2 linked regions of the Ovis aries genome follow. The protein of the gene in region 1 purifies or fractionates together with the protein of each later gene. This does not show direct contact. Links are inferred from orthologs where the notes say so. Each region holds a gene or a part of one and is shown in the gene's direction. Other genes may lie near its edges.

Region 1 (3,753 bases):
AGCTGAGATGAGTGGTATGAAGGTCACTGCAGATGAAGAGAATAAAGTCAGAGTAAGAAAGGTTCAGGTTCCACTCAGCTTCCGCAAAGCAGTATCTGGATGTTGGGACTTGTCTCAAGAAAACATCTGCACCCCAGTTTTAAAACATGATCTCAGGGGACAATTCTCAAAATTCAGTTTTCCAGAGTAGTCAAATAAAATTAATTTGGTCCATCTCAAACCTGTGTGCTAAATAAAACTTTTCTTTAGTCATTGTTGAAGGGAACTTTCCTTGGTAAAATAAACACCTAACTTTTTAAAAACCATAGTGAAAACAAGATCTGGAAAGAAAGCTCTAGGTGGAAACATGGCCTCTGGGTAGTCAAGAGTGCAAATTAGATTCAGAAATGGGAGGGTTATTCTTTCAGCTTTACTGTTTCCTAACTTCAGTCAGCCCCAGGCTACACATCAGAACAAACAAGAAAGGAGATGGATGCTCAGGGAGGGGTCTGAGAATCTTTTTTTTTTGGCAAATACGAGGTACCAGTTATGTGTTAAGACTAGAGGACTACTGAGTAATAGGTGTAGACAGCTATATCAACAAGTTATCTCAAAAGTTTATTAAATACCTGTTGTATTTAAGTAGAAAAAAAAAAAACCCCATGGGTAAAGAGGGGGCGTGACAGTTTGCAAAGCCTTCATTGAGCTGACGTTGAAGTTAGGGCTCAAAGGATGAGAGAGGGCCTGGCGGGCGGGTAAATCGCCGCCGCTTACCGGGGCTGGAGTCCCGCTCCTCGTCCTCCGCCGACCCGCCGGCCTTGAACCCGGGCGGCAGGGCCGGCCCAATCAGATCCCTCGCCATCCGCGGGGTCAGACACTGAAGACGCACACAAGTGTCTCCAAGCAGAGTCAGAACTCCACGACGGGCAGCCAGCGAGCCGCCGAACGCTAGGGAAACTCTTCCGGCGCCGGCCGATGACATCGCAGCTTGTGATTGGCTGATCCTTGCTATTGGCGATAACGGAAGTGACGCCTAAGGCTTGCTGCGCACTCGCACGCAGGGTTGACTACCAGGCGGGTGGCGATGGGCGACCCGGCTGGTGGTGCTGTTCCTCCCGCCGGGTGGTTCCCAGCCCCCGAGCTGACCCCGACGCTGGGGCCTCTACGCGACCGAGCCTCGCGGCCGAACAACTGGATGCTGTGGGCGATGCCGCCGCCGCCGCCGCCTTCGTCGCTTCCCGCAGCAGGGTCCGAGCCTGCCTTAGAGGCACAGCCCCGCGAGGAAGCCCGCACTTTCCCCGGGGCACCTCCCCCCTTCGACGCCCACATTCTCCCCGGGGCGCAGCCCCCCTTTGACGCCCAGTCCCCCTTCGATTCTCAGCCTCAACCCAATGGCCAGCCTTCCTGGAATTTCCAGGCTTCAGCGTCACGGTACTGGACGCAGTCTCCTGGTGGTTTTCCTTGGCATCAGCAGCCCCACAGCACTCCAGGTAGGTTGTTAACGCCTCTCCGTACCACCCCTTATCTTTCTTTTCCATCCCTATTTCCTCCTCCTCTTCCACCCTTGTTCCCCTCTCCTCTTCTGATACTGCCTTGCACTCCGGTCATTAATGTCTCACAGTTTGTTCCACAGTTACGTTTTCCCGACTTGTTCATTTAGTTCAGCAATTATTTGGTTAATTCCAACTATGAATCAGGACGTGAGGGTACAGCAGTGAGCAAAACATTCAGGAATTCTTATCTTAGGCCTTGGCATCTCCTGGTGTAAGATGGCAGACAATAAACAAAATAAAGCAGTGTGTATTAGAAGGCAGTGAGTGCTGTGGAGAAGGAAAGCAGAGTCACAGGCAGTGCAGATTTAAATGTCAGTCAGTCATGAGTAAGGTGACATTGGAGCAGAGACTTAAGGGAGGTGAGGGATCAGTTGTTCTTTGTCTGACTCTTTGCAGCGCCATGGACTGTAGCCCACCAGGCTCATCTGTCCATGGGATTTCCCAGGCGTGAATACTGGGCTGGGTTGCCATTTCCTTCTCCAGGGGATCTTCCCGACACAGGGATGGAACCCGAGTCTCTTGCAGTGCATATGTCTGGGGGTTGGCCATGCAGGCAGAGAGACTTGTAAGTGCAGAACTTGTAAGGCAGGAACTGTGTGTGAATCACTATTCTTCCTAGAAAGGGTGGAAGTGAAAGTCGCTCAGTCGTGTCGGACTCTTTGTGACCCCATGGATTGTAGCCTGACAGGGTCCTCTGTCCCTGGAATTCTCCAGGTGAGAATTCTGGAGTTGGTTGCCATTCCCTTCTCCAGTGGATCTTCCTGACCCAGGGATCGAACCTGGGTCTCCTGCATTGCAGGAGGATTCTAGAAATGGTGGGCTGCCACTATTTTAACTCAAGTATTTATGATGTGCTCTAGCAAAATATTAAATAATCGTACAGTTTTTAACATTTGTGAATCTCTCTTTGTTTTCCAGTTAAACATTCTTATTTTCCACGAAAGCATGATGCAAGGGTCAATGACTTCAGCGTCTCTCCCAGAAGAAAACAGAAAAAAAAGGTATTTTTAAAGATGTTCTTAAATGTGACACTTTGGTCCCTATGTCACTGCTTCATATCTCATCTGTCAGAACTGTTGCTGTTTTGCATTCATCACTGACACACCATAGCTTTGCTATAAAAGTATCTTTAAGAGTCTTGGCTGTAAGTAAAAACTTCAAGCAAAATCTTCTTGTGAAAAAGTGGAGAAATTGTACAAAAAGAAAACAGTCGATCCATTTACATTTAGTATCAGGAGTAAATATGGGGAATTATGATTACAGATAAATGTAAATGTTATTGAACTTCAGTAAAGTAAAAAATATATGCTGCAGCTGCGAAGTCGCTTCAGTCGTGTCCGACTCTATGTGACCCCATAGACGGCAGCCCACTAGGCTCCTCTGTCCCTGGGATTCTCCAGGCAAGAACACTGGAGTGGGTTGCCATCTCCTTCTCCAATGTATGAAAATGAAAAGTGAAAGTGAAGTTGCTCAGTCTTGCCCGACTCCACTAGCAGCTTGGGAGGGGAAGGATGAAATGAAAAGTTTTTGTGTATTTTCAACCCTTGATTATATTCAGAAACTGAGCATTAAAATAGACTTCCTTTATTCTCATGTAGCTTAACAATCTGGTCTTTCGACTTTTAAGATGTATAAATAATGTCATTAGAATAAATTGAATAAGATCTATATCATGAAGTTACTACCCTTCATTTTGGTATCAAAAGTGTATTGCTGATATTTACAAAATACTGTGAGTGTATAATATATTTAATAACATAATCTCAACATTGAACAATTGGAGTTTACTTCCTATATAGTCTTATCATTGTAATAATTTTTTTGTTTTATGTTTAAACATAAAAATAGTAAATTGAGAATAAGAAAATATTATTTACCTAGTTTTTTTTTTTTCATTTAGTAGTTATGTATATATACACACACACATTGTTTTATTTATCCTAAAGAAAGAAATGCTGTTTTTACCCTGAATATTTATTTTTAGGTTATTCTGACATATGCTCTACTGCATTTTAATTAGATTACCAATTTGAAATCTATTAATGGTTTATATTAACTCTATTCAGATTAAAATTTTTTTTGGCCATGCCTTGTGGCATGTGGGATCTTAGTTCCCTGCGTGCCTGCTCAGTCACTCAGTTATATCTGATTCTTTGTGACCCCACCAGGCACCTCTGTCCATGGGATTTCCTAGGCAAGAAACGAGGAGTGGGTTGCCATT
Region 2 (3,653 bases), on another chromosome or scaffold:
TAGGAATTAGAGAAGTAACTTGTCAAGAATCACAGACCAGTAAGAGATGGAGCCAGGACTTTGAGTGTTAGACTCCAAACCCAAGCAACCAGCAAAAGTTACTTCCTCCTTTAACTAAACGCCAGGTCCACAAAACATTACCATATTTCTGTTTAATAGCCTTTCTTTATAAAACAGTTTATATAATTTACTTCCTAATTACTGGCAAATATTAATGGTAGACTAAGAGTAACCACTAGTAAGAAAAATCAAAGAAATTCAGAATTTCAGTGAAGTCTGACCTCTTTTAAGTGACAAACTGGAAAACAGGTCTCCAAGCTGATTGACACTCGATAGCAATATTGCTATGATAAGTTTGCAACATCTTTTAGTAAACAGTAAAATTCAGTGATTCTAATTAAAATCACACAACTGACCAGGTTTATTTTAATTGTTTAACTTTGGAAGTCTAGAGAAGCTTAACGAAGATTTAATATTTTACAAAGAAAATACCTAAAACATTAGATATGAACTGAAAATTCTTTACCAAAAATAATTAAATATGTAGAAAACATTCCCTTATTTGGAAAATGTCTCTTAATAGAAGCCTTATGATTTAGTTAAAATGTACAGAAGATAAGTTACCACAAGTGTTTGTAGGATGCCACTTGAAAACTTCCTATTTGAAAGTTCAAGTCTTACTTTCTCCTAAGAAAAATTGAGTTACATCCTTTTTATATTTTACTTTATAAAAGTTAATTGTATACATCTATATCTAATTCAGTCTCTCTTTTTTGTATAATCACTGTTAACTTAAAAAAAAAATATGGCTTGTTTCAAATGGAAATAACGTGCAAAAGATGTGAAACATTTATTCCTTGAAGGCTGGAACCACTTTTAAAATATCGTAAACACGTCTGTATTATATTACACAGGGAAAAGAATGTACACGTTCTGTGGCCTATGGGCACGAGGGTGACTAGTTTAGGAAAACTGATGTTTTGCATTTCAAGTTTCTTTTCAACAGATAAAATATTCTGTGATTCTAAAGCGAAGAATTTAATTGTGGTCATGCAAACATAAGTAAAGTTTTGGTTTACAGTTGTTTTCTCACTTGTCAGTCATTTCTTAAAAAGAAATCAGTTTTTGTAGTGGGCTCAGCTTTGCATTTTGTGAAGAAATTCTGTTTTCCCTCATTGAAAAACTAGTGCATGGGACAGAGTTAGCATACAGAGGAATCGCTACACCAAGAGTGTAGTGTGCTGCCTGTCTCCAGTCAGCTGCAAAGTGTGGTGCAAACAGTTTGTTGCTAATTAAGAAATACTAAAATTTGAATGTTTTACTCTTAAAGTTACAGCAGATTCAAATGTATCTCAATAGCAGCCTCACTCTTGATCACTGGTATTTCAGAGTACTTTCTTGAGTGGAAGAAAGGAGGATGGTGTTTCAGCTGTCAGGCCTGGTATCTCTTGGTATATGTGCTTTGCATGTGAATATCATCTGTCATCTGTGGAGATAAGAGAAAAAAAGTTGGAGAACTTCTGCGCTACACTGGTGGAGGTTCTGAGGTTTTTCCTCTTGGTCATGACGTGATAGTCACATGCCAGCACATTATCTTAAACAGCTCCTAATGAGCTAGCTGAAATTCTCCTACCTCAGAGAGCAAGCAAGGAAGAATGCTAGGGGCATATATCTTTAATCAACTGAAAAAAAAAAATGTTTTTAAATAATGACTTGAGAATTTCATGCTTTAAGGAATAGATAGTGAAGTCGCTCAGTCGTGTCCAACTCTTAGCGACCCCATGGACTGCAGCCTACCAGGCTCCTCTGTCCATGAGATTTTTCCAGGCAAGAATACTGGAGTGGGTTGCCATTTCCTTCTCCAGGGGATCTTTCCGACTACGGGATCGAACCCGGGTCTCCCGCATGGTAGGCAGACGCTTTACCGAATGCTTTACCGTCTTTAGGGAATATTAACATCTAATTTCCTGTGACACATTTACTGGTTTACGTCATAGTGAAAATGTGTCTGACTCTGCGATCCCATGGACTATACAATCCGTGGAATTCTCCAGGCCAGAATACTGGAGTGGGTAGCCCTTCCCTTCTCTAGGGGATCTTCCCAACCCAGGAATTGAACCCACATCTCCCACATTGCAGGCAGATTCTTTACCAGCTGAGCCACAAGGGAAGCCTAAGAAAACTGGAGCCTAAGAAAACTGGAGTGGGTAGCCTATCCCTTCTCCAGCGGCTCTTCGAAACCCAGGAATTGAACTGGGTTCTCCTGTATCACAGGCAGATTCTTTACCAACTGAGCTATCAAGAAAGCCCAAAAAGTGCAAGTCACTCAGTCGTTTCCAATTCTTTATAGATAAACTCCATATTTCTTATATTTTGTGCTTTTACCTCATTCATAAACTCAAACCTGTTTTTTTTTAATTTCAAAATAAAGGAAAGCCAGATTTAATTATATAGTAATATAAATTTTGGAAAATATAATTTAGAATTAAATTTTTACAGAGTATTTTATAGCCAGTTATTTTACTGCCATATATTACTATAAACTATCAGGGCTAGTTGTTTGGTTATCTTTTAAGGCTCAAACTAAATATATTTGAGGAATTTGAGTTTTTAGCTAGTCAGTATTGTATCCAAGAAAAATTAATGACACATCAAATATAGATATTATATAAAAGCCTTTATCCCTTAAGATGAAAATGAATAACTTATTCTAGAGCTTTCCTAATATCAAATTATTTGATATGCTTTTGATTTACTTTGGGATCTCATAATAATAGCTCTTTTACTCAATTTTCTTAGTGGTGGTAAACTTACTATATTATAAGGAAACAGTTATTGAATTATTGTCATCTCCATGTAAAATTTTTTAATATAAGGAACTCATTTTATTTATGAATAACTTCAAATAAAAGGGTATTTTTATTTTTATTTTGCTTTTTTTCTAAAAGATATTATGAGCTGGATCCTGACAAAAGTCTCCTTGACAATTTGAGGGGCAAAGTGATCATTGAGTACCCAACATTACATGTAGTATTAAAAGAATACAGTAATGACATGAAAGTTCTTCACCAAGGTGAGTGTAAATTTCTTCCTGGTAACTTTTAAATAACGGGTGAAATTGAAACAGTTACGTGATTGTCTTTATATATTTTTCCACTGTATTTACACACTTAACTGAATTTCCTCTGTAACTACAGATAATGCTATAAAGAAAAATATGATTGAGCTGTTGCTTCTGTCCTGTTTGAGAGCTTGTAAGCTTTTATCAACTTAAAATGAATGAATCATTGAATGTCTGCCTCTAAAAAGATGTCCTTTGCCTCTTTGGAATTTTTTGTATTTTGTCTTTTTCTAAGGTAATAATCTTTAAGTAACAGTCTGTCTAAGATCAGATAAATTTATTCCCTAGTTAAAACTCCTTAGAGATTCCTAAAATGAGAGATCACAAAACATTTTTAGTATTCTATACTTTTCCCTCTTTGATGAGTAGTGAAGTTGGGAGGAAGTACCAAAACTGGCAATGGTATGTGTAAAATGTTCGTATATAAGGTGACTTATCCGTATTTGCAGTTACTGTTGAAACTAATTATGTAGCTGAATGTAAATTCTAAAAGATGAATAAAATTTAAAAATTACTTCTAAAAAGAAAAAGA

The links. Proteins that work in one complex are often made in the same cells at the same time.
Region 2: the proteins of NUFIP1 (region 1) and ZNHIT6 purify together in Homo sapiens (affinity purification with western blotting; 3 studies listed by BioGRID and IntAct, with this or other methods). This does not show direct contact. The link is inferred for Ovis aries from reciprocal best matches to the Homo sapiens genes NUFIP1 and ZNHIT6.

Annotation. Positions count from the first base shown.
Region 1 is NC_056063.1:15,536,097-15,539,849, reverse strand, and holds the start of NUFIP1 (FMR1-interacting protein NUFIP1), read left to right. Parts: upstream 1-1,028; 5' UTR 1,029-1,063; coding exon 1,064-1,469; intron 1,470-2,450; coding exon 2,451-2,533; intron 2,534-3,753. Other genes in the region: GPALPP1 (GPALPP motifs-containing protein 1), read right to left, coding at 754-841. UniProt on the Homo sapiens protein: Binds RNA.
Region 2 is NC_056054.1:62,697,842-62,701,494, reverse strand, and holds part of ZNHIT6 (box C/D snoRNA protein 1), read left to right. Parts: intron 1-2,948; coding exon 2,949-3,073; intron 3,074-3,653. UniProt on the Homo sapiens protein: Required for box C/D snoRNAs accumulation involved in snoRNA processing, snoRNA transport to the nucleolus and ribosome biogenesis.